Coturnix japonica: one gene and its partners. The protein of the gene in region 5 purifies or fractionates together with the protein of the main gene of each other region. This does not show direct contact. Links are inferred from orthologs where the notes say so. Each region holds a gene or a part of one and is shown on either strand. Other genes may lie near its edges. The genes, in order: RPAP2, MED26, CTDP1, MED9, POLR2C, MED19 and RPRD1B.

What was found.
Region 1: the proteins of POLR2C (region 5) and RPAP2 purify together in Homo sapiens (affinity purification with mass spectrometry; 3 studies listed by BioGRID and IntAct, with this or other methods). This does not show direct contact. The link is inferred for Coturnix japonica from reciprocal best matches to the Homo sapiens genes POLR2C and RPAP2.
Region 2: the proteins of POLR2C (region 5) and MED26 purify together in Homo sapiens (affinity purification with mass spectrometry; 3 studies listed by BioGRID and IntAct, with this or other methods). This does not show direct contact. The link is inferred for Coturnix japonica from reciprocal best matches to the Homo sapiens genes POLR2C and MED26.
Region 3: the proteins of POLR2C (region 5) and CTDP1 purify together in Homo sapiens (affinity purification with mass spectrometry; 3 studies listed by BioGRID and IntAct, with this or other methods). This does not show direct contact. The link is inferred for Coturnix japonica from reciprocal best matches to the Homo sapiens genes POLR2C and CTDP1.
Region 4: the proteins of POLR2C (region 5) and MED9 purify together in Homo sapiens (affinity purification with mass spectrometry; 3 studies listed by BioGRID and IntAct, with this or other methods). This does not show direct contact. The link is inferred for Coturnix japonica from reciprocal best matches to the Homo sapiens genes POLR2C and MED9.
Region 6: the proteins of POLR2C (region 5) and MED19 purify together in Homo sapiens (affinity purification with mass spectrometry; 4 studies listed by BioGRID and IntAct, with this or other methods). This does not show direct contact. The link is inferred for Coturnix japonica from reciprocal best matches to the Homo sapiens genes POLR2C and MED19.
Region 7: the proteins of POLR2C (region 5) and RPRD1B purify together in Homo sapiens (affinity purification with mass spectrometry; 3 studies listed by BioGRID and IntAct, counting the BioPlex papers as one, with this or other methods). This does not show direct contact. The link is inferred for Coturnix japonica from reciprocal best matches to the Homo sapiens genes POLR2C and RPRD1B.

The regions. Positions count from the first base shown.
Region 1 is NC_029523.1:12,310,184-12,314,977, forward strand, and holds the start of RPAP2 (putative RNA polymerase II subunit B1 CTD phosphatase RPAP2), read right to left. Parts: upstream 3,240-4,794; 5' UTR 3,199-3,239; coding exon 3,138-3,198; intron 2,713-3,137; coding exon 2,667-2,712; intron 1,825-2,666; coding exon 1,710-1,824; intron 1,292-1,709; coding exon 1,193-1,291; intron 306-1,192; coding exon 240-305; intron 1-239. Other genes in the region: GLMN (glomulin), read left to right, coding at 4,041-4,106.
Region 2 is NC_029543.1:3,359,228-3,363,200, forward strand, and holds the end of MED26 (mediator of RNA polymerase II transcription subunit 26), read left to right. Parts: intron 1-784; coding exon 785-2,479; 3' UTR 2,480-3,162; downstream 3,163-3,973. UniProt on the Homo sapiens protein: Component of the Mediator complex, a coactivator involved in the regulated transcription of nearly all RNA polymerase II-dependent genes.
Region 3 is NC_029517.1:72,181,007-72,184,871, reverse strand, and holds the end of CTDP1 (RNA polymerase II subunit A C-terminal domain phosphatase), read right to left. Parts: intron 1,746-3,865; coding exon 1,604-1,745; 3' UTR 710-1,603; downstream 1-709. UniProt on the Homo sapiens protein: Processively dephosphorylates 'Ser-2' and 'Ser-5' of the heptad repeats YSPTSPS in the C-terminal domain of the largest RNA polymerase II subunit. This promotes the activity of RNA polymerase II.
Region 4 is NC_029529.1:4,803,531-4,808,369, reverse strand, and holds the start of MED9 (mediator of RNA polymerase II transcription subunit 9), read right to left. Parts: upstream 3,020-4,839; 5' UTR 2,985-3,019; coding exon 2,836-2,984; intron 1-2,835.
Region 5 is NC_029526.1:1,904,330-1,907,258, reverse strand, and holds the end of POLR2C (DNA-directed RNA polymerase II subunit RPB3), read right to left. Parts: exon of another isoform or gene 2,246-2,929; coding exon 2,171-2,245; exon of another isoform or gene 1,680-2,170; intron 1,509-1,679; coding exon 1,364-1,508; 3' UTR 1,010-1,363; downstream 1-1,009. UniProt on the Homo sapiens protein: Core component of RNA polymerase II (Pol II), a DNA-dependent RNA polymerase which synthesizes mRNA precursors and many functional non-coding RNAs using the four ribonucleoside triphosphates as substrates.
Region 6 is NC_029520.1:7,805,412-7,809,468, forward strand, and holds MED19 (mediator of RNA polymerase II transcription subunit 19), read right to left. Parts: upstream 2,087-4,057; 5' UTR 2,064-2,086; coding exon 1,868-2,063; intron 1,727-1,867; coding exon 1,470-1,726; intron 1,403-1,469; coding exon 1,306-1,402; intron 1,224-1,305; coding exon 1,129-1,223; intron 992-1,128; coding exon 923-991; 3' UTR 658-922; downstream 1-657. Other genes in the region: TMX2 (thioredoxin-related transmembrane protein 2), read left to right, coding at 2,158-2,346, 2,613-2,673, 2,798-2,911, 3,195-3,271, 3,352-3,458, 3,538-3,603, 3,690-3,819, 3,949-4,057. UniProt on the Homo sapiens protein: Component of the Mediator complex, a coactivator involved in the regulated transcription of nearly all RNA polymerase II-dependent genes.
Region 7 is NC_029535.1:8,680,438-8,684,319, forward strand, and holds the end of RPRD1B (regulation of nuclear pre-mRNA domain-containing protein 1B), read left to right. Parts: intron 1-566; coding exon 567-716; 3' UTR 717-3,033; downstream 3,034-3,882. UniProt on the Homo sapiens protein: Interacts with phosphorylated C-terminal heptapeptide repeat domain (CTD) of the largest RNA polymerase II subunit POLR2A, and participates in dephosphorylation of the CTD by RPAP2. Transcriptional regulator which enhances expression of CCND1.

The DNA of each region.
Region 1 (4,794 bases), on a different chromosome or scaffold from region 5:
TACAGTTTAAAAGACATGCAATAACATTCAGGGTCAGCAGAACTTTTTTTTTTTTTAGTTTTCAATATGACTCTTAACATTTTGGAGATGGAAACACACTACTTACTTTATGAAAATGATTTTCATGAGATACACATGCATTAGTTGTGATTCAGTCCATTATATGAATGCTGTTACAAAATGCATTTGTGATGTGGAGACAATATTAAATACATTCTAAAAACAGCTTGTTACCATACCTTTCTTTCAGTAATATCGTAAACTCTGTTAGTTTTTGTTGAAATCCTGTACTTCTGTTTTGGCACCTAAAATGACATGCTTTCATCAGCAAGATTGTCACAATGTTATATAAAACTTTCCTTTTAATTCACGTTTTCAGTATAAGTAATGTATTCAGTTTTAACTGAATTACGTACTACAGCAGCTCTCTTGGTATTGTATCTCCTTAGACATTAGAACTGCAATTTCTCATTATTCATTCACATCTTAGTAGGCAACTTCAGGTTTACAAGAAAGCCTCTGCTGGGAGTGAACCAATGGAGCTGTCACAGAAGAAACCCTGTTCATGTGTGACTCTGCCACTATTCAGACAAATCCAGAGGGGAGCTTACATCAAAGGTAATAGTTTCCAAGTTCTGTTGGGACATGTGAAATCCAAAACGGTACCTATTTTTCCTTTCATGATTTATTTTTCCCAGATAACTGGTTGTATCACACCTGGTATTATGGTTATGTAACTGAACTCATAGTTCCACTTAAGCTCTAATACGTTGTATTTAGGCATGACTGATTTTGACACAAGTAAGGTCTGTTTTTGGAGGGGATGTATTTGCAGTCACATAGTAATACCCATGTGTTTTACCTCTTTCATATCAGCCCTTCTTACAAAGGTACAGAAGGAACAGATTAAAATGTTTCTGCATGCACAAAGGATAGCTATGACACCACACCTTATTTATCTTTATTACTGTCCAAATAGATTGTAATTGATTCCCTTATACAGCAACAGTTGTCAATCAATCAGATTTAACTTTTAACTTCAGAAGCATTATACTGAAATGATACCTGACAGCATTTTAATCTATATTTTAACATTCTAAGTTTAAAATGAAAAAAATAAGCAAGAGAATAAAAAATGTGATTAGGTTCTTATGATAACATTACTCAAAAACAAACAAAAAAAGCAACTTACATTTTCCAGTTTATTTTGACATACGGGGTAACCACATAGTTTGATGATAGACCGTTCATCAACAACGTCCTTATAGTGAGATGGAGTAATACATTTTCCCTGCAATTACAAGAAAATAGTTCAAGAATACTGGAAGATCTGTTACTTTTCACACTCAGATGTAAATAAGCAAATACATACTTTCCATTTTATAACTGTAAGTTTAATATACAGCACTTGAACTGTGGGGTAAAGAGCACCATTGGCTAAACTCACAGAGGGCATGATATGGACTTAACTTTTTGTGCTTCCCAGAGGCATAAAGTATGCTAATAGAGAGAGATTCACAATTATATCTCATCCTACAAAACTGGAGCATATTTTCACTGGAGAACCCTTGAAAGTAAGGCAGCCATCAACAGAGCTGACAAGAGAGGATGAACTTGTCTGCTCTGAACTGCAGCAAATTGTTCTAAGGACTTTTAAAAAACAGCTGGACACTAAGATACAAAATAACACAAAAACTTGTGACACGTACAGAATTCAGAAGGAACTCTTCAGTAATGTCCTCTTCCAGGAGCTGCTCAACAATACGCAGTGCCTTTCTCTCAAGTTCAATCTTTTTTCTAGTAGAAGCCTCCAGGGCTGCTTTCCTGTAACGTAAGAGATGTTGAATGAAACAGAAAGCAGCTCCCATAAGCAATTCCCCACCTGGATATCTTCTTTTCTGAAACACAGTAGTTTATATTTTCTGCATCTCATCAAGTTGGCCAAACAAAGCAATAAGTGGGCTATAAATTTTGTAATAACCACTAAAGACAAACAAAAAGATTCTTTGCTTTATTTTCTCCCCAGTCAGGAAAAGTATTGACTTTTATTGTCAAACCACAACAGAATTATTCCAGTATATGCACCCATTGGTATTTTCCTGTACCTTCCATGTATCTGCAGTGAGGCATATTTTGATATATTCTCTCTCTATATGTAGATTGTAGCCTTTGCTGAACTTTATTCTCACTCTGTCAGACAGGCCAATTGAACTGTGCATCAGCCAGGTGATGGAACAGAGATACCTCCTGTAGCTCCACCTCCCCCTGGAAAGTTGTTCTCCTGCCATCTGTGTCACCACTGCAAATCTGGATTCCTCTGGGCATCTCTCCCTGATGGGCGGCTGTCTGACACGTGGGAGCAGCTGGCAGAGGCACCTGTACTGTGTTGTTCTATGCTGCTTAAAGGGGATGCAGCTTTCAGCCCTGTTCAGATGTAATGTGCAGCTCTATCCAAACAGGATGGCTATGCCTATTCTAAGCAATGCTAAGTTGATGTTTGTTTAAAAGACCCACGGCATCACACCAAAAACCTGCTGGAGGTGGATGCTGGTGTCTCTGGAGGTCAGTCATCTCTGGCAAAGCCAAAAACACAGGAGGAAAAGAGCACAGTTCCAGAGTGAAGCAAAGCAAAGTGATCGCAGTGTGTTGTTTGCTAGAAATGATACCTCTGATCAGCATCTTCATTTTTAGGGGCAGCCGACCGTTTATGTCCTAGAAATCGAAAACATGGAAGCATATAAGTGTCTGTTCTTCCTTTAGCAATGAAAACATTGGAACTTTTAAAAAACACGAAGACTTCTGCAAGCACATTGGAATGCACATTGGAATGCACAGAGCCTCGCTGTTGTTGGCTATGCCTTCAGCAAGGCAATAACCGCTGGGCAGTGTCAGGTACGGTTTTGTACCGCTGCGGGGTGAGCACGGCCTGCCCTCATCCGACCTCCTGCGGGGAGCCCTGCCCCGTGCAGCCGCTGTGTTGCCGCAGCCGCCCCGAACTCGCGGTACCCTCGTGCCCCGCCAGCCCAGGCCGTGCTGCCGTGCTGCTGTGCTGCCGTGCTACCGCCCGGCACGGCCAGGAGTTGCATTAACTCACTGTACCGGCCTGCGGAGCGGGCGGAGCGCGGCGCGGAACTCACCTGCCCGCCGCCGGCCGGGCCTCCCCTTCGCACTGCACGGCGTCTTCCCATCCGCCATCATGGCGCTGCCGCCTCCCTCCCTCTGACCTCTCACCGGAGGCGGAGCCGTGTCGGCCGGGCCCGGGCCGGGAGCGAGGAGCGGCGGCAGCGCGGTGTGAGCGGTTACGGTGGGTGCTGTGAGCGGGGAGCGCTTCTTGCGGGTTTTGTTTGTAATTCAGCCCTGGGTTAAAGGCTGACCTTAGCAGCCCCTCGTGCTGGCGTGTATGTGGCACCCCACGTGGGAAAGCTACTTTAATAGAGGAGGGAGGGCTCTGAGTATAAGCAGCAGTAAGTTTGTGCTTATTTGGGTGCTGTACGTTTGCCGCTGGAACCGCTGGAAAGATGTAATTAGAAAGTGGGTTAAGTCGTAAGGCCTGACAGCGTGGGGAGCTGAGCAGCGCCGTGTGTGCCGTCACGTGTCCGAGGGCTGGGGGGGAAAACAGCAGAGCTGACAGCGTATGGAAATTGGTGGTGGGTTAGGGACAGTGGCTGTATAACGAGCCTTAGGCAGAAGAAAGTACTCAAAGCTGTTAAACAAACAGGAATCCCCAAACCTGAAGTTTTTAATTGTTGCACCTGAAGAAAATGGAATGCTTGATCGGCCAGCACTGCAAGGAAGTGAATAATGTTGCATATGTAGTCTTGACTGGTCTAAACCACTGTTGGTACAAGGCAGCAGGCACCTGAAGGCACATATGAAGGCACATACAGCTCCCACTGTATGTGGCCATGCAGTAGCTAAAAGACTGTTCTCATTTCTCTATTTGGTGTCTTAATAACATGATTTTTTTTAATTTATTTTTAAATTTCTGCATTTACTTAATGTGTTTTAATACTGTACCTTTTAATTCCTAATAGTTTTCAATGCCTGAAGAGCAAACTCAAGCAATAATGGCAGTTGATGAACTTCAAGCCATAATACAAAGATGCGTAAGTACTTCTCATAAAAGTCATAAGTGCAATTAAAGGTTCACTCTATGGCTTCAGAACACAAGATACTTGTTAGAAGATCTCCTTGCTGCTATCTGGGCTTAGTCTCCATGTTTCATTCACTTCTCCCTGACTGTTTTCCCAAGTTTTCCCTCTTGGAGAAAGAAGTGTTCTTGTTTCTCTCAGCAGAACATGTCAAAGTGAACATATCACAGAATCACAGAACTGTAGGGGTGGGAAGGGACCTCCAGAGGTCATCAAGTCCAGCCCCCTTGCAAAGCAGGCCCCCTACAGCAGGCTGCACAGGTAGGTGTCCAGGAGTAGTCTTGAATATCTCCAGAGAAGGAGACTCCACAACCTCCCTGGGCAGCCTGTTCCAGTGCTCCGTCACCCTTACCATGAAGACGTTCTGTTGTGTTTTGATGCAGAGCTTCCTGTGTGCTTCAGTTTATTGCCATTTCCCCTTGTCCTGTCCACACACACTGCTGAAAAGAGGTTGGCTGTGTCCCTTTGACTCCCACACTTAAGATATTTATAGATGTTAATAAGATCACCTCTGAGTCTTCTTTACTCAGGGCTGAATAGACCCAGTTTACTCAGCCTTTCCTCATATGGGAGATGCTCCAGGCCCTTTGTCATCTTTGTGTCCCTCCACTGGACTCTGTCTTTTTTGTTCCGGTGAGCCCGG
Region 2 (3,973 bases), on a different chromosome or scaffold from region 5:
CACTACAATATAATGCCAGTATGGATAATTATTGTGAAACATGGGTCGTCATGTTTAGAAATGATTATTGTGAGAATAGTTACAGTGAGCCATTGGCTGAGCGCTCCCATAGTGCCACAGGGCAGACAAGTCTTAAATGAACGCATCTCAAAACAACTGAGATTCCAATGCACAGCAATATAGAAGGAGAGGTGCTGCACCAGTGGTTTACTGTTGGATTCATGATGGACCAAAATACTTCAGAGATGCATTTCTGTTGGGAGTCACGTGGCTGTGCTGTAAACCCTAGTTGCAGTCCCAGGATGGCTGTTTTCCAGTTGGAGTTGAAATCCATCTTGATTTTAGTCAGTGCAGTTTGTGTTTTGATACATGTATCACAACATGGTATGTATTTCTCACCAAATCCAGTCTGTCTTCCTTTGAGGTGCTTTTCTGAAGTAATCGACTTGTAGAACAATTCTTTGCTTTCAGGCATGTTTTGGGAACAATCTCTTTGCTTCCTTCCACTTACGGAACCATGTTGGGACAACCTAGGAAAGCTCATTTGTTGGCCTTTTGAGATAGGGAGCAAAGATGGAGGAAGAAGATAGGACATCACGCTTTGGTTTGTGCAGTGGAGATTTATATTTGTAACATATGGATTAATTCAGCTCTTGCATCTGTAGCATTTTGTACCAGGCTTTTCTTAGGGTAAGCATTAAAAAGCAGGAATTTAACTTAAAAATGGGGTCAGAATTTTGTTTTGAATTATGCCTGTTGGTAAAACAAGTTTTGTGTTTTGTAGGAAACAAGGCTTGGGAGGCTTATCAATGAGGTGAGGAAGAAGACATCCAATGAGGAACTTGCCAAACGTGCCAAGAAGTTGCTGCGGAATTGGCAAAAGTTGATAGAACCTGTAACCCCAAATGAGGCGGTGCCAAGAGGGCTGCAGAATCCACCCGGATCAGCAAATGGTGGTGCTCACAACTGCAAACCAGAAGCACCCCTTCCTGCCGTGGCTGGGTCAAAACCTATCAGTGAATTGAAAAGCAGGAACGATATCCAGAAACTAAATTCTCCAAAACCAGAGAAATTGGGAAATCGGAAAAGGAAAGGTGAACACAGGGATGGGCACCAGGGCCCCCCTCCCACCAAGGTCTCCAAAGTTAGTCATGAAATATTACAAAACTCTTCATCCCCTCCAACAAACGGAATTGGAGGTAGTCCCGAGAGTTTTCCTAGTCCTGTAGATGTAAATCTACATGCAGGGCCTGAAAGCAGCAGGACAGAACTTAGTGAAAATGATAAACACAATAAGATCCCAGTAAATGCTGTAAAACCTCACACCAGTTCTCCAGGACTCGTAAAACCTTCAAGCACTTCCTCGTTATTAAAGACTGCAGTGCTTCAGCAGCATGATAAATTGGAAGAAACCACCGGGTCGCACCAACCCAAGAGTCCGCGCTGCTCCTCGTTTAGCCCTCGAAATGTTAGGCACGATACTTTTGCTCGGCAGCATACCACGTACTCACCAAAGGATTCAATGCCTAGTCCATCTCAAAGGTCTCAGTTCTTAGATACTGCACAGGTGCCATCACCGCCACCATCCTTGATGCAACCATCAACGCCTCCAATGCCAGCTAAAAGACTGGAGTTCTCTCAGCAATCAGCATCTGAGGTGTCCCAGCACTGGCAGGAGCAGCAGGTACCTTGTGACAGCCAGCACAGGCACACAGCAGGGACACTTCCACAGCACACATCTCCCAGTTGCAAAACCAGCTCCCACCCGGGGGAATCTCTCATGTCGCACATCGGCTTTTCACAGGACGCTTCAAAAATGGACAGTGATGATGCTGCTTCAGGTTCAGATAGCAAAAAGAAGAAAAGGTACCGACCTAGAGACTACACAGTCAACTTGGATGGGCACGTGACAGAAGGGGGTGTGAAACCTGTGAGATTAAAAGAGAGGAAGCTCACTTTTGATCCCATGACAGGACAGATAAAACCTTTAACACCGAAAGATCCTTTGCAGGTAGAAATCCCTGCACTTACTGAACAGCACAGGACAGAAACGGAAAAGCAGGAGCAAAAACCCAACCTGCAAAGCCCCTTTGAACAAACGAACTGGAAAGAATTGTCCAGAAATGAAATAATTCAGTCATATTTAAACAGACAGAGTAGCTTGCTGTCTTCATCAGGAGTACAGACTCCAGGAGCTCACTACTTCATGTCTGAGTATTTAAAGCAGGAGGAAAGCACTAGAAAAGAGGCTAGAAAGACTCACGTTCTGGTTCCTAACAGCAAACCTACAGACTTGCCTGGGGTCACGAGGGAGGTCACGAATGATGATCTCAACAGAATACGTGAACATAACTGGCCAGGCGTGAACGGTTGTTATGATACACAGGGTAACTGGTATGATTGGACACAGTGCATATCTTTAGATCCACACGGGGATGATGGTAGATTGAACATCCTGCCTTATGTCTGCCTAGACTGAGTAACAGGTTTGCTAAAATGCTTTTACATTCACAGTTAGCGAGAATGGCAGACACTATGCCACTTAAAGATGGAGAAAGCCTCCTGTCCTGGACAAATAGGCCCAACGAGCAGAGGGTGAGAGGGAGCTGGTTACGTACAGCTCTTCCCTTTAAATTCTCCTTTTGTGAAATGCTGCTACCAGTTTACTAACAATTGCAAAGGAAGGCATACGAAGGTTGAGAAAACTGAGTTCAAAACTCTCTAGCGAGCCAGCTATAAAAAAAGTGTTAGTCCCCAAGAAGTGAAGATGATTTCCAGCACTTTCTGAATGCCGGAATCTGACGACAGGCAGGTACAGAGAAAATTGTGGAAGTTACCTTAACAAAATATGCATCTATTTATTTGACTTGATTTGGATTTTTATTTGGCAGTGAGGTATTCAAGAGACGATGTGCAAAAACTGTAGTTTTATTTGTATGGCATCTCTGAACATGATTGTGTTTTTTTTTAAAGTCATGTGGTACGGAGATTGGCTTTTAAACAGCAGGTGTTGCACTGCAGGCTGGGAGACCAGCTTCAGCTCAACATTCCATGGGCATCCACATGTTTCAGTCTGGTTTTGGTTTAAATCCAGTCTCTGAGAAATGCTGCAAAAAAAAAACCCAGATATTTCCTGACATTTTTGATCCCGCCGCCACCAGCCAAATATTTTCCTCCTTTTCCCTTCCTGCAAAACTACTAGGAAACAAAAAACTAAATAAAAAAATCACCTTTTCTAGAATCTAAATGTAACGAGGGTGCTACAAGTCCGTAACTGTACTGTGAGAGGGAAAAAGGAAGCCTGTTTGTATGCTGGAAATATACTTGTTACCATTCCTTTAGATATTGTTTGCCTTATGGATATCCATCATAAACGCAATTTGCAAAAACAAAGAGCCTTAGTGAATGTACAGTACCTAGACTTCTGTGTTCCTGGGATGCAGAAGGGAGCAACTTTGCTATTTGGTCCTTTAAGTGGACACATTGTGATATAAATGTGGAAATAAAAAAAAATTTGCACAAAGCAGTTTGTGAATTATTTATATTGAACTAATTTATTTTTGAAGATCTGCTCCATTCCAAGTAACAGAACCCAGTGGAGCCGTGCGGGTCCCACCGGGCAGTGCCAGCCGCTGCTGTTAGGGACGTAGTGATGTCTTCCAGTTGTGTTGGTGGTATTTGGTCACAGGTTGGATCGTTTTGAACTCTGGTTGCATCCAGGGGTGAGAGACTGATGACTGTTAATGTACCTCAACGTCTAAGGAATTGTAGTTCATCTTCTCACAGTAATTTTGTAATATATTGTTCCTAATTGTTAAAAAAAATATATATTTCTAACAGCAGCCTAATTCAGTATAGAAAGCTCAGAATTTCTATTGCCTGTAATTGCTTTAACGTTCGGGACAAGTTTTCTACAGTCCCCGCTGCTGGATTTGTGTCCAGGGCAGAGCGGGAGGGGACACCAGACCAAAAA
Region 3 (3,865 bases), on a different chromosome or scaffold from region 5:
GCTTGTTTTAGCGGACAGATCTAGAAAGCAGGTCACTGCAGAATTCAGTTATGTGGCACCTGTGTAAATGTCCTGTAAGGTCAGTATTTTCTTACTGAGAACATTATTTTTATGTCATAGATGACGACATTGCATTCTGAATGGAAAAGCAGTAATAACTGGAGACGATTCTCCTGTTTTCTCACTCTTCCTTTTACTGCCATTATGAAGCTTTAAAAACTAGCCAGTTCTTTGTAAGGCAGCTGACAGAGTACTAAAATATCCTCCCAATTTTACTGTGAGATGGCAAAGCTAAGTATTCCTGAACTAGAAAGTAATTTTAACCACAACATCTGAATTAATGAGTCTTCTTTTGCTGATGTGCTTTAGAAGAATCTCATTCTCCCATTGCTAGAAACAGAATAAACCTTAGTTCTAGCTTCAGAAATTCAATACCGCAGCAGTAACCCTTACAGTATCTTCAAAGGTCAGTTAAAGGGAGAAGATAAAATGTCAGAATGAAACAGTTCACACACTTCACAGCAGTTCAATGTTTCTCTTCTCTTGCACAGTTATCTGCCAGAATCTCTTAACTTTGCAGTTGTTTTCAAAGTTTCCCATTGTTTTCATGAAGAGAAAAGGAGAAGTAAGATGGAAAGACGCCTTACATTTGATGGACGCAAACAAACTGCTGTTGCAGACCTCTGCGATACAGGAAAGGGAAACAAAATCTACAAAATGAATTTTTATTAAATGAAAGAAAATCTGTTTTGTGGGTCAAATATGAAATAGAATATACAAAAACTTTACATCAGATCTCTTTTCAAAGAAATTAAATCCTATCTAGACTGAAGTAGCACTCGTTCTTCCCAAGAACAACACAAATGGATGAATACGCTCCTTACGGCAGTACAGGATCACACAGTGTGCTGTGCTAAATTTCTGCTTACAGAGAAGAAAAGTTAAAAATCCTAACGGTGTCCCTAAAGAATCCAACTACTCCACAAAGCAACTTAAAAACATGACTTTTGATCATTATCTCAGAAGCAAATGACAAGTGAGTCAAGTGCAGAGTTCACAAAGCTTGCATACGATGTTCTCTGTATCTATACAAATATAGACTGTTCTTTTTTTCATTTATTTTAAAAATCCTTTTACATTTGATAGTATTCATTTGTGGAAAAGGATGATGAGTTCATCAGGTTCCCGCTGTACTACTCAAGCAATCGCACTTACTTTATCTCATCCTGTTCTTTCAGATTGTTACCAATAAACCACAGACTGCAATACTGTGAGAAGTTGCTGTATGCTGAAGCACAGACCTTTGTATTACTGTCCTGTATATGAAGGTTCTGCAGAGCTCATAACATGTCTTTGGCATAGCACACCAAGTCCCATTCCATACTTTTTTTTTGTTTAAAAAAGTATATTTTCCTTTAGTAAAACACCTTAAAAACATCTATTTCTGATTTTGTAAAATAACGTGTCACCTCTTGTGTTGCTTTGCAAAATATACACACACATTTTGGAAAAACATTGAGCACTGACATAAGGGACTCATCTGAAGTCTGATCTGCTTATGAGAAGGAAAATATAATTGGAAATTCCATCTTCTGCACGAATGTCACATGAAGTCATTCAGTTCAGCTTCAAGTGCTGCTGCCATCTCATCTGCTTCAGAACTGCTTCCCTCCTCATCTTCATTGCTAGATTCTTTACTGGATTCACTGGCAGCATCATCTTCATCCAGTTTGCGCTTATGGCCCCTGGAAAGACATGGAGATAAAGGTCTATGAATCAAGAATCACAGTATCTGGCTGCTTATTAACACAGACCACTAATATTTGACAGAAGGAAAAAAAAAAACAAAAACAAAAACAGGCCTAAGGACTCCTATCTTTTCAGCTTGAGACAAACAACCCCCACTACTGATTTTTAATTGCTCTTGCGGGTGCAAAGTGCTGTTAAATTCATTTCTCCCATTGATTTCATTTCTCCCATTCCTCTGAACAATGAATGGAAACAAAACTTAAGACTGCTTGAAAAAAATCAGTTAATTTAACTTCCTCTCAGGTAACACAAGAAAATGTGAGTCTGCCACGAGAATGGGAAACTACCAGAATTCATTCTATTTTGCCATGTGAATATGAAATATCTAAGTATCTCTTTCATGTTAAAATTAAGCCTCAACTGCTCAACCACTCTGACTGCTCTAGCTGCTCAACTTGTGTGCTTCATTCCTCCTTGTTGTGTCTCTTTGAAGCAGCACTGCTGGGCTGAGCTCATGACGTTACACAGGAAGCTGATGTGTGCTATATTCCGCCGGAAGAATCATATTCCTGGTTGTGAAAGATCTCCAAGGAAAAATCTAACACTTCAACTGGGACAAAGCCATAAGCAGAAGAATTTGGATTTGTGGAACCCTAAAATCTCTTTTCTTTGCCAAAGCAGAATTTTATATCAGATATATACTTCCGAGGCAAAAATAAAGTTGAGATCTTGCACAGAATTCAAAATGAGCTGTAGAAATACCTCCAAGAATTACTCCTTGATCATTTGATAGAATTTCAGAGGAATATGCTCAAAGTGGGTCTCTCTTAGATGTCCTTTTCAGTGTTAGGTAAAGCTTCACTTAGAGAATGCATCTACTTGCAAGAATGAAAAATTAACGAAGTATCCTCAGCAAAAAAAGTAATGATTTAGCAAAGGCCACTTCACTTCTAAGCGTATAGACAAGTACCACACAGCAAGAAAGATCTTTAATAAATACTGACTTGAAATACGTATACCTAAAAGAAATAGATATGAAGATTAAAAGTCAAACTTCTGAGCTTCTAAGCAAAACTGAAATACAAAGCAATTTCTATATATACAATGATGTTTTTGTTATCATTCGTCCAGAGCCATTAATTCTCAGAAGACCATACTTGCTGTCTGGCTCAGTGACACCTGACCTTCCTTGTTTCAACTGACAAATCAGGGTCCAAGATGTCCAATGGTAGGAGAACAGCACTGTGTTGCTCTGCCTTTCCATTATGGGTTCTACTGGGCCCAAAAGACACAGTGCGGCTGCTTTGCTGATTACCTGCTCACTATGATGTTAGATTTATTTTTCCTTCCGTACAGGGTGGTAGGAACAAGTTTGCAGATGACACAAAACTTGAGGAGTAGCTGAGGTATCAGAGTCATGATGCCACCCAGAAGGACTCAGGCTCAAGAACTGGGCTGACAGGAACCTCATGGAGTTACAAGAACAGGTGCAGAATTCTGCACCTGGGGAAGAACAGCCCCAGGCATCAGGACATGCTGGGGATGGGGCAGCTGGAAAACAGCTTGGTAGGGAAAGCACCTGGAGGGTGCTCTCACATGAAGAAGCACCCAGACTAAAAATGCTCAATTGGAAGAAATAGCACATTTCCATTAAATGTCATACAGAGTTAGTGTTTTACTTGTTTACTTCACGAGGATTTCAGCCTTGAGAGATACCGCACAGTTTTAGCCATTAATTACACTATTAGCTGGAGAAAAGCTAATTGCTGAATAAAGAAAGCTGAGTCTTACTCAGCAAAATCAGAAAACATTACTGTTGAACAAGTAGTAAATTAGAAATACAGCCTTGGTGCTAACCGAGCAATAAGATAAATAAAAACACAAGAGAAATCTACAGAACAACGTTCACAGTAGAAAACAATCATGTTTACAACATTTCAGCTACGGAAACTGAATGAACCAACTGAAAATAAAATGTACAGTCTGACAGCACGTACTGCAAGTCTACTGGTATCCAATGTAATACCAAAGAACCTGTACGAAAATATCCAGTAACTGAGTGCTAGTTCACTACTCCTAAAAGCGAGGAACTATTTATTTACTGAACAATCAAGCC
Region 4 (4,839 bases), on a different chromosome or scaffold from region 5:
AAAACAAGAGGCATGACTCACATCTCCTGCTGGACAGACCTTCTGCCTGCTGGTGGACTGTCATTCCCAGCATGGTCAGGGCTTACGCTGGAATTCACTGGGAAACTTTTGCTCCTGGGATCTAATTCACACCTATCACAACAAAACCACCAGAGACACATACACAGATTAGGCAGCTGCTGGGACAAACTGGTTTCCTGGTCATTTTCAGCACACCATCCAGTAACCTTAATTGCAGTCCTACAGGTTAAGACCTGGTCTGCAGCTTTCAAACACTACCACAGCCTCTCACTCTGTTTCAATTCCCATATGGGGAAGGTAAGATTACACACACACAGGTTGTGTGTGGGCACCTGGGAAAAAAGACCTCAGCCCCGTCTGTGACCTGTTGTCAAAGCAATACAAGAAATCGATGCAGTCAAACAGCTTGACAGCAGAAAATAGGAATCGTTCCCCAAAGTACCAGAGTGTGTCCAATGGCAGAGAAAACGGCATTTCGGAGCTTCAGAACGACTCTCCGGGGATGTCTACCTAATAAAGAGAAGCGACAGCTTATTTTTTAAGAGCAGCACAATTGCTTCTGCAGCTCCGTGCTTCTCGAGGATCAGCGTCGTCTGAGGCAGCGTCTGCCCTCAAACCCTCATTAGTATCTGCTTCAGCTTTGTTAGCTACAGCAAGGAGTTTTACCATTCCAGGCAAAGGCGAGACTGCTTCCAAGGCAGCGCTAATAACGAGAGCAGGCTGCTAACGGCCCCTGTAAGCTGGGAGCCTGTTCAATAGCCAGGCCCAAAATAAAACTGCTTGGCATGACCAGGGCAGAGAGGTGCCTGATTAGAACTTTGGGGAATCGTGACACGACTGAGAGCAAAACTTTTAACCAGATGGTCCCGTTCATTTCAACAGCCTGTTGGAACAAAATATTCATGACTCCCTTCTAAATAAAACCGCAGCTGGTACTATAATGTACCCCCATTATGCAGGCGTTTACGGTCAAGTTGACAGTGGAAAAATACAGGCACACACACATTGCACATCTGGGAAGGATGGGTTGGCATTGCCTTTAATCCACACGAGCTGCATGCTGGATTCAAAGGGCCGACCAGGTCCTTCCACAGCTCGTTCTCTTCTCCACATCCAAAGAATGGATGGTTGCCTGGTTGGTTGGTTGGTTTGAAGGAATAACTATTTTCAGGCTTGTTGTTGTTTTGTTTCTGATGGGAGTTTTCAAGTAATTGAAGCAGCTCCTCTGCAGGCATGGAAAGGCAGGGGGGAGAGCAAGAGTGGGAAGAGGTTCAGCTACCTGCAGTTACACAGGATTAAATGCAATGTCCAGCCACAGCCTCACAGTGCTTGGGATCTCCCTTCAAGGACTGAGATCTTCAGACCCTCCCCAGCTGCCCACCAGCTCTCCTTCACTGCTGTGAACAAATCATAACTCCATCATGTCCCACCTGCAGCTCCTGGATACACCAGCACAACCCACCACGCACAGGGACCTCACAGGTAACCTCATCTGATTATACAAGGGTGAAAGTAACAGCAAGCCCTGCCTGGGAGAACTTTCTTGGGACTCAAACAACAGGAAGGAACACGTGTCCTTGAATGTAAGCAAATGTACGCGATACATCACTGCACCCCAGCACAGTCACCTTGGAGATGTGAAATGTCTTCAGGGCTGAGTCAGTGTCAGAACAGCAGGGCCGGGCTGTGAGCCTGGCGGCGGCGTTAAAGGATAATACGTTTGCCATCTGTCAGGGACATGAGGCAACTCATCCCACTGCTCGGCTCTGCCGTCTGACCCCTCTGCAGTGCTGCTCTGAGCACCTACGTCTGCTCACCCCGTGCAGGAAATGCTGTGTGCCAACCTGGGGGGGAGCGGGGCAGTGGGAGTGGGTGGCTCAGAGGGACAGGGCACAGGATATCCCAGCACTGTCATTGTGGGTCGCCACGACTTGCTTGGTGACACACAGGAGGCTGGGAGGTCTCAGCCCGTGGATCTGGCTCACTCTGGCTCTGCACACATATACAGATGGCAGCAGGTTCAGCATCACCTCTGGATGGATCAGGCAGGGTTGAGCACAGGGACAGTGGCAGCGCAGGGGGGAAATGGAGGGTGGGTTTGAGTTCTCATAGCTCTCCTGAATCTAGGAGAGCTAGATTCTAGGCTGCCGTGTCTGTGGGGTATTCGGCCTTTCCTTGCCATGCTCCTCCAGCTGCATGGTTAATAAGGGTGAACCTCTTCTGGGTACTCAGACACACAGAACCCCAGCAGGAAACAAAGCAGCCTCAGCTCCCATAGAAGCGTGCAGGGAAAGGGCAGTCAGACCCACAACAAGGAGTGGGAATTCACGCTTCCTGTGCCCTCTGCATCACTGTGCAACGTGCCCAGGTCACAGCAGGGCGATGCCCCTACCGGGAACTCAAACATTTCTGACAGGGTTACCCTGGGCCACAAACGCTGGTTGTCAGGACCCTCGTACGAACACCTTTAACCCCACAGCATTGATTTTGAACAGGAAAGAGGATGACTCAGCCTGCACAAGCCTTCCTCTTTCTCCCAACGCCCAGAAACAGACAGTGCTGCCCTGGGACTGCCCGTCCTTTACTTATCAGCCCATCAGAGCAGCAATACGGGGCAATAACAGCTCGGCACGGCTCCTGCTGCTGCACACCCGGCCCTGCCCCACCTCGGTGACCCCAACTACGGGCCCGGCTCAGAGCAGAGCAGCTGCCAACCCCCCCATAGACCCCAGCGGGGAGAGAAAGGGCAGAGGGAGCATCCCTGCGGGGTGATGCCGTGGTGAGGCCGGCCCGGCGCTGTGCGGCCGCCGTTACCATTTGATGATGTCGTGGACGAGCGGCAGGAAGGAGAACTCCTCCTGCGCTGCTGCCGGCGGGGCGGGCGGCGGTTTCTGCTCGGTGGGCGGCTCGGCCGGCGGCGGCTCCTCGGCGGCCCCTCGGCCTGCGGACACCACCGAGGCCATGGCGGCCCCCGGCGCCGAGCAGTGACGGAGCGGGGCGGAGCTCGGCCGCTCTGTACCGCCCCGGCGGCGGCCTGGGCTGAGCATCAGATGCTGCTTGTGTGTGGGGCTCAGTTTGGGCCTGGGCAGGAGGTTGGGGTGTGGGGATGCTGCGGGCCGTGGCCTGGGGCTGAGGCCTGGGCCGGAGCGGGGCTCGGAGGCCTCCCTGGGTCCTGGGCTGTGAGGGTGGGTGTGGGGGCTGAGCCCGGGGTCAAGCTTTGGGACTGGGTCTCAGATATGGGACTGCACTGCTGCTGAGGTGTTCCCCAGCTGAGCCGGGCCTGTGCTCCCAAGGCAGTGCCCTGCACACCCACACTGAGCACCCCACAGTGTGACCTACAGCATCCCTGACCTGTGTGCAGCCCAACTGTTCCTGGCTGTCCTCGTTGGAGAGGAGGGCCATGGAGATGCTGTGAGGGCTGGAGCACCTCTCCCATATAAAGGCAGGCTGAGGGAGTTCAGCCTGGAGAAGAGAAGGGCTTTCAGGGCTTGGAACTGGAGAAACCTGAAGGAATGGAGGCAAAAATCCAGCAGCAGGGCTGAGACATCCATGAAGCTGCAAGGAGGGGAGAGGTGGGGTTCTTGGGTGCCTGGGCTGTGAGTGCAAGGGGGTGATGGAGAACACGCTGCATGGAAGGTGAGGGTGAGCAGTGCTGCCCCTGTGCACCATCAGGAGTGTGCTTCAGCAAACTGCTGCTGCCGCGTTTAAACCGCTCTGTCAATACACACTATTGTAGCACTGATAACAGCAGCCACAGTCGTGAGTTATCCTTCCTGGATTGGCTTAGAGAGCACAGATAATTTTGTTTTTTATTTGAATTCAGCTCCCGGGTTCATCAGTTAGTTATAGCCCAGGGATGACGGGAAAGGTAATTTTCATTTTAAAAAACAATTTCTTTTGAAAAGCGAACTATTTATGTATCAAATGAGAACGCTGGTAACCGTTTGTGCGTATGTATTATTGACTGCTCGCTCTAAATATAGCAGATGCAATTGTTCACATTGTTCTACTGTCAAGAATAGATCCCGGCTTGGTCACCAGTTCTGGAATGTGCAGGAGAGCCCAGGGGTGCCCAGGACCTGCTGAGCAGATCCCTGCGGGAAGGCTGGTGGGATTCATGGCCCTTGACTGAACCAAGCAGGAGGTACAGGATGCTAATGCCTTTGTGTGGGGCTGAGCAGAGAGGTTCATTTCTGCACGTCGTTTTATGGGCTGTTTCTAAAGCAAGACTTGATTCAGGCTCCTCAGGGGTCATTTTATTCTGTGCTGTGCTGGTTTTAACTCTCCCCTAGACTTTATCAAGGAGTGTGGCTAATTGCTAGGCTGCTGGATGCCTGCCTCTCATGGGTGAGTCAGGCAGTCATTAGAGTAGGTGACAACATGCAGATACCATTCAGGCAGAACTACAGCACTGTCAATCAGAATTTCTTTGTACCATTCCGTTCCCATTTTGGTTCACGTGTTCCCACAGCAATTGGAATCTACAGCTTTGTCTCAGTGGTGTTCAGCCCTGTCTGCCTCACACCTTCCCTTCCTCATGAGAACAGCTCCTTCAGGTGACCCATCTCCATCCTTCAGGGCTGGTTAGGCATGTTCATGTTTTGCAGTGAGGAAATGGTGCCACTGGCTCCTCCATCACTGAAGACACCAGTGAATTGATGGGACCAGAGTGCACAGTTACTGTTTGAATGTCTGCCTGTTGTCTGTACCATGACTGGTGTGTCCATAGCCTCGGTGAAGACTTCAGGGAGGGTAAAGACCCAGCTGACAGGCCTGGGAAGGAAGAAGAGGTTTTTTGGGCCAAGGAGCACTGCCCTA
Region 5 (2,929 bases):
GGAACCTGTGGTCTGTGGCCTGTAAATACTGTGTGTTGGGTCTGTGTAGCTTGTGGATGGGGCTGGGGAGCTGCGGGTGCATATGGGTCCCTGGGCACTGGTCAGGGGTGTAACCTGCTCTTTTCCTGGCTGCACGCCTCAGCTGGAAAAGATTTCACATTTATGACCAAAAAATATTAGGGTTTTTTTTTCCTTCCTTCTTTCTTTTTTCTTTTCTTTCTTATTTTTTTTTTTTTTAAGGAATTGCTCAATGAATAAACAACCCTTATCCACCCTTCCTGTTTGTCTGTTCCATCCAAACATGCTCGGGAAGTACATGTTGGAGTATCACATGCCAGAGAGCCAAAAAATGCTGAGCAGGGGAGATTTCCTCATGCTACAGGCAGCGTTTGGCTCCAAGCTTTGTTCTGCCTCCAGCGCCTGCAAGGACATTCCAAAGGAAGCCCTGCAAGAGCTGGGGAGGGAAGAGGGCTGTAGCAAGTCCTGCTCACACTCTCTCAGCAAAGCAAGGAGCCTGTCCCACATCCTGGGTGCTGAGGAAGGGGAGAAGGGGTGACTGTGCAGCTCTTGGAGCCCTCTGGCCACTGCTTTGGTTAAGCACAGAGCCAGCTCAGCCCCTGCATGCTGCAAAGAGCTGCCAGCTGGGGGTTACCAGTGACAGACACTGCCCAGCCCCATGGCACACAGCACATGGGCAGAGTCTGCTCCAAAGGAGTCCTTAAACACAGCTAAGTCTCCCTGGCCCACCCTCCCTCCTGTGATGTGGCTCTTAGCAGCCCAGCCTTGAACATCTGCTTTAAACATAGTCCTGTCCCTGGCAGTTCCAGCACTACCTGCTGCAGGGGTTCTGGCACCCTCAGTAGATCACAGAGCTCAGTAGGTCAAGAGCAGCAATCAGCTGTTACAGAGCAACGCTCCCTCCAAAGCAGGCCTCATTAAGTTAATGTCTGTTGGAGGGAACTAAATGATGTGTTATCTCCTCCTGCAGCCCCAGATGAGCTTTCAGAGATGACTGAACACAGGCGTTAAGGCTTTATTCAGTACACTTAAGGAACAGACATACAAACAGGACAGGGTTGTGTAATTGAGGTACATGCTTCCCAGTCCCAAACACTACGTGACCACAGTCCAAAACTCGGATCAGAGACAAAGCCCACCCCCACCCAGCAAAGACTTTCCTCCTGCTTTACCCTACGTGTCATCATGGCTTTCTCTGGGAAGAGAAGTGCTACTAACGAGCAGATCTGCACCAGGAGAAGCAGAGGGAGATGAGGAGACAATCCCTCAGCCCCGAGTGCAGCCAGGCAGAGGCAGGAACCTTCTGCATCACTCCTGCCTGGACAATCTCCTGCAAAGGGCCACCTCAGTTTATAGTGAGCACATCACTCTGGATCTCATGGCTCAGCTGGGTCTGGAGGTCACTCAGCTTCTTCTTCAGGCCAGACAGTGCAGAGAGAACGATGGTTTCGGGGCGCAAAGAGCCACAAGATTCCACGTTGTAATAAAACCTGAGGTTACAAGTCAGGGAGAAAGTTACCAAGTGTTCTGTGAGGAGGTACAAAACCAGAGAGCACCCACACAGCAGCTCTAACCCACCAGGACCCACTGCAGGGAGATGCTGAGCTCCCCTCTGGGCATGAGCCAGCACTGCCCTGCTACAACAGCAGCCACAGACTCCCATGGAGCTCATAGCAGCCCTCACGACCCTCCAAAATGCAAGAGCCCTTGTGAGGCTTTCTCTGCTCAGCTATGTGATGTGAAAGCTGCACGGGGAAGCTAAGACTGGCTGTCTGGCTGCAGGCACTCCTGCAACACATTATCACCTGGTAGAGAGGGCAGCAGCAGCAATCAGAGCATGAGAGACTCACGTGGGTGAATAATACTGCTGATGACATCAGTGTCTTCAGCATCACCCTAAGCCATCTCTCCAAGACACTTGACCAAATATTGCAGTGCCCTACCTGGTAACAGGAACTCTGAAGAGTCACCCAGAGGGCAAAACCTGCCAGGCCTGGGCACATCACCAGTTAATTGCAACTCCTGCCTTGCTTTCCAGGGAGCAGCAGCTCTCTGCGCTGGTGCAGCACATCCAACTCACACCAACAGCAAACGCAGTGCACCCAGCTCCATCCCCCTCCTCCCAGCAGTGGGAGCACATCCAGCTTCCTACCTCTCGGGCTTCCCATTGGGGTCATATGGAGCCTGAGCATCCTCCTCATCGATCTCTGAGTATTCACTCTTGGGCCTGGAATGAGAGCAGGGAAGGTCAGCACTGGATCAAATCATGGAAAAAAAGTTCACATTAATGTAGCCCTTTCTATTTCCTCCACCTTGAGCAGCCTGAGAAGCCAGCATAGAAAACTCCATGCCCACCACAGTCTCCTGCCAGCCTCCCTCAGACCCAATGAGACCAAGATCATCGTGTCCTGTCACCAGTGGTCCTCAATAAAACTGCATTTTCCAACAAAACCTTCCACCTGCAACAAATATATAGCATTCATGAGCCTTCATGTTACTTGCCACGCTGTCCATTACTGAAAACAGGGCAGAGACTGAACCTTGTTTCACCATGACGTCTGCTTTGAGAGTCCAGCTGCATTCCAGCACTCTGCCAGCAGCCTCAAAACTAAAACCAAAACAATAACTATCCTTGGATAGCAGAGACATCTGTCTCTGTATTGTCTTCACTAGAAGCAAGATGAACTTGGAAAGAAACCCATTATCATCAGGGAACACACAGCTCCAACAGCAATCACCACTTCTTTAGGTCCTTCTAACTCTGACACTGATTTTGTCAAGAATCTCTCCAGGGCTGTTTCCAGGTACTGCACACAACAGCAGGCTCATGAGGATGCAGCCCAGTCTGCCACCAAAGGAATCTGCATCAGCGCTGCCTTGGGCCACCCAGACATGTAAAGCCTCACCACAG
Region 6 (4,057 bases), on a different chromosome or scaffold from region 5:
CCGCCACCCCCAGCCCCATTGGGGAGCCCACCCCGCACCGGGCCCACGCAACTTCACGCACTACTTGACTCTTTCTCTATGGCAATATCTCTCCTGTGGCCTCCGCAGAGCCATGCCATTGGTTTTTTGTTTTTTTTTTTATTATTATGATTAGCCATTTTAAAAACGAGGAATAAAAGGATATTTAATGAGTCACCTCAGCGGGCATGCGTGTGCTTTGTGCGGTGTCCAGGGATGGAGGAGTCCGTGAAGGATCCTGTCCTTCACTTCTCAGCTTTCCCTCCCTCGTCTGGAGTGGAAAGGAAGGGGACAAGGAGAGCCGGGCCCAGCCTTACAGGGCTGCCAGTGCCTGCGCCCTCACAGCTGGGATGTGCTTCCTTAGGGCACTTTGGGGCACAGCGCTCTCAGTGCAGGTAAGTGGAGCTGTCAGGGTTGGAACATGTCCCAGGACTCAGTGAGGCTCTGGCTCTTCTGTAGGAGCCCCCACAGGGGCAGCCCTGGGGGACATGGTGCTGAACTGGGGTCACTTGTGTCCTCCTGAGCCTTCTCTCACAGCCCAGAGAGCTGCAAGGCCTGGAGTATGATGGGACAGGCACAAGGCCTCTGCTCCTTGCCCTGCCCCGCTGGCCAACAGTCAGAGCCGCCACTGGCACCAGCTCTTCCTCAGAGCAGACTTTAATTAAAAGGTGAATAAAAAAGTGAGATCCCAATGCACCACGTTGCTTAGGTGTGGTAGGAGCCCCCATTCCAGCAGCGTCCGCGTCACCAGGTCCCCATCAGCCACACAGTGCAAGCAGGGGGGTTGCAAGGCCACGTTCTCTGCAAGCGGGGACCATGAGTGCCCACACCTCCCCGCTGTGCTCTGTGATGGGACGAGTCCACAGCTGGGGCAGGGAGCTCCATAGAGCAGCACAGCGCAGCCTCACCGCAAGCTGCTGCTGCTGCTGGCCTGCGAGCTGCCCACCCCGGGGTGCTCGGGGCTGTGTCGGTTCTGCAGAAGAAGGACAGGCGTGAGGCCTTGTGAAACCCAGTGCCAAGCCCTGCTGGAGGCCTAACGTGTGGTGCTGCCGCGGCCTGGCACGGGGCTGGTGCAGGCAGAGCAGAGCAGCACGCTGCCTCCTAACCTACCTTCTTTTTCTTTTTCTCCTTCTTCTTCCTTTTGCGCTCCGGATCCTCCTCTTTCTTCTTCTTCTTTTTCTTGTGGTCTGAGTCCGAGGGGGTTTCTGCAGGAAGCAGAGGAGGGGTGAGCGGGGCACAGAGTTACCAGGACACATGGGGTGCAGAGTTAGCAGGGCACGGTCCTACCTGGGGGCACAGGGTCCTGCGTGCGGCTCTGCTTGTGCTTGTGCTTGTTCTTCTTCTTGGGCGGCTGGATGTGCATGAGGCGGCACTGCTCCGGCAGCTGCAGGGGCTCATGTCAGCGGACCCCCTCCTTACCCCCATCCCCCCTTCCTCCCCCGGGTGCTCACCGGGCCGGCGTGCAGTCGGAACCCGGTCAGCATGGTGCCGGTGAGCGGCGTGAAGGAGCTGCCGCAGATGGGCGGCTTCTCGATGAGGGAGCGCAGGCTGCTGTTGTCGTGTGAGCCGGGCAGGTCGATCATGCCGGGCAGGTCGGGCAGGAAGTTGCTGAGCTTCTCCTTCACCTTCTTGCCGCAGAACTTGTTGTACGCGTGCTCCAGGCTGTAGTGTGTGATCAGGTTGCTGCTGCCCGTCAGCTCCGTGCCGCCTGCGGACGGACCGGCACCCTCAGCGCCCCGCCCCTCGCCGGACCGCCCGCGCCCATTGGCCCGACGAGCCGTCACTCCGCGCGTCCCGCCCGCTCATTGGCCCCGCGCCCCCCCCCCCTCCCCCGCGGCCCGGCCCGCACCCGGCAGCTCCCGCAGCAGGTAGAAGGGGCCGGTGGCGGCCTTGCGCGCCGCGTCGTCTCCCGGCGGCGGCACGGCGGCTGCTGGAGGCGGAGCGGCCCCCGCTCCCGGCCCCTTGTTGGGCCCGAAGCCCAGCGCGGCGGCGGCGGCGGCGGGAGGCGGCTCGGCCCCGCCGAACAGCGCCGAGAAGTTCTCCATCTTCCCGCCCTGCCCCGCGCGGGGCCGCCCCGCCCCTCGCGGACGTACGTGCAGCTCCGGCCAATGGGAGCGCGGCGGGCGGCCGGAGGACAAGATGGCGGTGCTGGCCCCGCTGCTGGCGCTGCTGTACTCGGTGCCGGGGCTGTGCCGCTGGCTGGCCCGGCCCTACTACCCGCTGTCCGCGCTGCTCGCCACCGCATTCCTGCTCGTCCGCAAGGTCCCGCCGCTGTGCCGCGGGCTGCCCTCACAGCGGGAGGACGGCAACCCCTGCGACTTCGACTGGGTGAGCGGCAGCACCGGGCCGGCCTGTGCCGTGGCCTACTCGGGTATCACCGGCGCTGGGTGCAGCCGAGGCGGCCCCTCTGTGCGCAGCCCCGGCTCCTGATCGAGGGCAGGCGGAGGATGAAGGCTGGAGCGGCCTGGAATGGCTGCTTGGCCTTGTGGTTGTGCTGCAGGGCTGCTCGGTTGTGCCCGAGGTGCTGGCTGTGGCTGTGGCTGTGGCTGTGGCTGTGGCTGTCACGGTGCTCACTGCGTTTCTCTCCTGTGCAGCGGGAGGTGGAGATCCTCATGTTCCTCAGCGCCATCGTCATGATGAAGAACCGGCGCTCCAGTGAGTTGGGGCAGTGCTGGGTTGAGTATAAGCTGCTGATGGGGTGTCTCTGTACTGGAAACAGTTGAGGGATGAGAGTGAAAAGAGACGTGGCCCCATCTCTGATTTCTTCCCTCCTTCCCAGTCACTGTGGAGCAGCACATTGGGAACATCTTCATGTTCAGCAAAGTGGCCAACGCCATCCTCTTCTTCCGTCTTGACATCCGCATGGGCCTGCTCTACCTCACGCTCTGCATCGGTGAGACACGTGGGGAAGTGGGGGGGGATCCGTAATGCAGGGGCTGTAACAGTGCTCCTGTCAGGCCTTGTCTCTGCCCATCCTGTGCATTGCCTTCCTCAAATGGGGCTGGAGCCATCTTGCCTTGTGCTGCTGCTGTCTTTGTAGCCATACAGGCTGCTCTGGGGAAGGAGGAGCCTCCCTCAGACTAAGCCTGTGTCTCTTGGGCATTCCAGAAGTGGAAAAAAGGGGGCAGAGGCCTCGCTCCAGGTGGGCGCTGGGCTCAGGGATGCTGTTATTGCAGTGTTCCTGATGACCTGCAAGCCACCCCTTTACATGGGACCTGAGTATATCAAGTACTTCAACGATAAGACCATAGATGTGAGTATCTCCTACCCAGTGTGAGTTGGCGTGGGGTGCCGGGCTCCCTGCCTACCATCCCCTGTTGACTCGCGTGGCAGGAGGAGCTGGAACGAGACAAGCGGGTGACCTGGATCGTCGAGTTCTTCGCCAACTGGTCCAGTGAGTGCCAGTCCTTTGCCCCCATCTTCGCTGACCTCTCTCTCAAGTGAGTGCTGCCTGCTTTTGAGGCCTTGCTGAGTCGGTCCCAGCCCAGTGCTCACTCAGAGCTGTGTTCTGTCTCCCAGGTACAACTGCTCGGGGCTGCACTTTGGGAAGGTGGATGTTGGCCGATACACGGATGTCAGCACCAGGTCTGTGGGGCCGAGAGGGTAGAGGAAGGTACCAGGCCTTCCAAGTGCCTTGATGTCATTGTCTGCCTCTTGCCTTACTCCTGCAGGTACAAGGTGAGCACCTCGCCCCTCACCAAGCAGCTGCCCACCCTCATCCTCTTCCAGGGAGGGACAGAGATCATGCGTCGCCCACAGATTGACAAGAAGGGCCGGGCCGTTTCCTGGACCTTCTCTGAGGTACATAAGGGGCAGGAGGATGTTCCAGCCCATGCCCTGAGGATGGGATGTGCTCAGCGGCTCTGAGGAGCTGTGAATAGTGGGTGTTAGCAGGTCACTGCTGGTGCTAATGCTGTGCTTTGACTGCAGGAGAACGTGATCAGGGAGTTCAACCTGAACGAGCTGTACCAGAAGGCCAAGAAGCAGTCAAAACCACGGGATGAAGGCAGCGAGGAGCCGCCCGAGGGGCAAGGAGCGG
Region 7 (3,882 bases), on a different chromosome or scaffold from region 5:
ATGTAACAGCTGCTGGGGTTGCTAATGTGTATCGTCTATCTCATGACAAGAAGCCTCTGTTTCACAACCAAACACTCCAAGCTTATCAAGCTGGGGTGGGAGGAAGCACATTTCAGCAGATTAGTAATACCTGGGGTGTTCCTCAGACTGCTGCCTTTGTCAGTGGGATGTGTCTGAATAACGCTGTGTCAGTTTCCTCCTTTGGATCTGCACAAAAGCCAGTTGTCTGGAGAAGAATATAGGAATAGAGCAACTATATAATGACAGTTCTGTCAAATATTCCACCAGGTCTCAGTGTCTGTGGGGTCGTTCATGTAACTTTTGTTGAGGTATCATGGCAGGATCAGTGGCTCTGAGATGCTGAAGCTTGTGGACTTCTTGCTGGGGCAGGCTGTGAGTCTGGGTGCAGATGGCAGCTCTACAGTCGTGCAGTAGCTGCACAGAGAACAACCAAAACCTTGCCACTTTTTCCTAGAATCCTCACTTAAACAAACAATCCTGGCTTAACTAAAAGCACTGTAAGTTAACCTGTGTTTGATGCTTGGTCTCTCGTCTCTTTCCTGCAGGAATATAAACAGAAGCTTGCTCGGGTAACCCAGGTCCGCAAGGAGCTGAAATCTCACATCCAGAGCCTTCCGGATCTGTCACTGCTGCCCAACGTCACAGGAGGTCTGGCACCTCTGCCGTCTGCTGGTGACCTGTTTTCAACAGACTAGAACAAATGGTGTCCCCTAGTTTCCATTATTACCAGCAAAAGTAAGAAGACTGTTGACTGGAAATCCAGTCTTCCCAGATGTACAGTAGGAAAGAACTTTCAGACCCTGCTTTCAACCTCTTGGCTGCTCATGCTCACCTTCTCTCTGTGTACACTGGCTCACAACGAGGGCAGGATAAAGAGCGAGTTTTTGTGAGCTCTTAAGGGAGTGGGGATAGTCCGTATAAGCAATTTTCTCTCATAATTTTTCCTTACTCTTTAGTTTGTTTGCTCTTAGCACTTGTTACCCCACGAAAGTCATGAGAATCGTGTACATATATGGAAAGTGTTCAAAGAAAGGCTGACCGTATAACATTTTCCTCTGTAAAACTATTGTATTATTTCAGATTGTCTTGCCTGTTTTTGCTGGGTCTCTGAAGCTCGTATCTGAAAGCAGTAGTGGCTAGTGGGCTTCGTAGGGGTGCGTGCATGTGTGTCTGCAGGTATTATATCATGTCAGTGAAGGACAAAGGCACCTACTGAACAATGGCACAAATATTTTAAATCTACAGTTCCTCATGCTGTTGTAGGCCTCACATAAAAAATAGTTCCTATTTGGCATGAACATAAATTGAAACTCACCACAGGCAATAAAAATAAACAGCTTTTCTTTGTGAATTAGAGAGCTTCATAATTTAAGCTCTGCTGAGCCATGCAGAACTGGATATTACCTAAACGAGAGTGGAAGTAAATTTTGTTCTAGCTACCTTAGATTTATACTATATTTTTCCTCTTCATTATACAAAATAAACGATCACAGAAGCTTTGGTTTAACTGAGAGGCTGGAGTGTGGTGGATTGTAACTGGCCGTCACCCAGTGGCAGATCTGCTCTGAAGGTGGTCATGCTGAAAGCATTCTATAAATTCTCCCTGTAGCTTTAGTCAAGTTAATTGATGAACAGAAGTTAAATGTGATATAAACCCCCCCGTTTTTTTCTTAATCTAGAAAGTAGACCCATATACACATCCAGCATGCACATGTGCTATATCTATGCATGTATTAGAAGGATGTACTTAATTTTGTATCACAGATTGTGAGTTGATTTTATTATTGGGGGGGAAAAATTAGAGTACTCTTTAATTTGCTAATGTTCTAGCTGCCATGGATGTCATTAGATTTCAGTTTGTGTGGTAGGTCTATCAAGCTGGACTCTCATCACTGAAAACCATTCCTGTCTGGGAAAATAATCTGTTTAAATCTAATATCTCCTGCTGTGGAACACCTGAAGTTTCTGGAAACACTTGGTCTGACAGCACAGGCTCTATCACAGAGAGGCTGAAATGAGTTACGTTGGTGTGCTGTGTTTGTGCCTCGCTCTGGTCTTAAGCTGCAGTTCTCAAAGACGTGAGAAGATACCTATAGAAATGCAAATCTTGGTCTGCATTAATTTATTTTATGGAGTATTAAGTAGCCAATTGACATTCAGTTAAATAACACCATGTGTTTGGTGGTTTGGTTGTTGAAAAGCTCCTGTGCTTTTCTTACCGATGTTTCACTTTTGTTTATTTTTTTTCCTGTGAAAAGGAAACTTCTTCCACCCCTGTTGCCCAGCCAGGCAATGCCTTTCTTTTTCATTGGCAGGAAACTTTACGATGGCAGTGAATTATATTTTCCATGAATTGGTTTGATCTTGCAACCATTTGTGGACCAAATGTTGCTTACATCAGGCACCCAACACAGTCTGCTTTTGCCAAACATTAAAAAGGGAATAAAATAGGAAAACAAAGATAATAATCAAGGGAAACCAAACAAAGCCACCAAAGCTCCAAAATCCCAAACAAGAAGATGAATTTCTGTCCTGCCACAGCTCCCGGAGTTACCTTGAGGTTGCTTTAAGCAGTGATTGCTTTGACTGTGGATTGAACCCATATCCACTGTAAGACAAAACGTGTTGCCATCTCACGCTGTTGTTCTGGGCAGACGTCATGTGAGGAAGCGGGCTGTCTGTCTTTTCTTATTCTAGAAATGTTTGGACTTGTTGGTTGGTTTTTTTTTCCCCTAAGTGTGAGTGTGTTTTCTTTTGCTTAATTTAAATGAAGTCTCGTAGGTTTTACTTTCCTTTTAATGGGCAAAGGACATCTGGTGAACTGAGTAACGTTCTCTGAAGGTCAAACAGATTTTCCCAAGGTTTGTCTCTCTCTCTTTTTTTTTAATGCTAAAATCTGTATATTAATGGTTTTAGGAATTAATGTAGGCATATTGGCTGCCATTTGTGACAGCAGTATATTCTGAAATGTCTCATAGATCTATATTTTTGAATAAAGAGGGTGTCGTTGAATAGCGCTGGTTTTACTTGCTTCATTTGCAGTGCAGGTGCTGCTTGGACTCACTGTGGGTTTTGTTTGGGTGTTTTTACCCTCTGCATTTAAAGGACAGGAACTGCTGATCGGTCCTTATGGCAGAGTTTGAAGATGTGACCATTACTTGGACAAAGTCGAGCTGTGATCTGCATGTTGTGGCAGTACTTACACTGAATGGATGCGCAGCGTTCTTAGGTCATTGCATTCTACTTTTATTGCAGCATTCCTCAGAACTAACCTCTGATAAGAGAAGCACAAGGCACTGAAGACTTCCGGCTTCCAAGCTTATAAATTAATTCAGGTTATATGGAGGATGAATTAATAATTAGGTTTGGATACAAACAAACAGAAACCAAACCCAAACAGGAGCTTGGAAACTGACTTTCCTGTATGAAGCATTGAGAGCTGCTGCTGTTCCTGCAGGGTTTTGATGCTGTCTAATCAAAGCCTTTCCTCTGTAGAGGAGGAGGATCTTCACATCTTATTGTGTATTAATTCTCTTAGAGGTTTTGGGGGGGAGCTTATGGGTTCTTCACTCCAATTAACTGCTATTCAATAGTCTCTTTGGGCAAACTTGATAATTGTTTCATGTGCCTTGGAGAGTGTCAGCAAAGCTGCTTATAACTTTTAGCAATTTACGAATCTTTCATTAAGGAGGCTATATTTAGTCTGCTTTTGTAATCGACTTGCAGGAAGTTTGATCTGCAGCTTTCTGTGAGAAGAAGGGAGTCTGAAACGATTCCTTCCAGTGGAAAGCAGCCTTTGTATGGTGTCTGTTGGAGCTGGGGAGGTTTCAGTGACCTGGAATGTGGCTGAGTACTGCGTGT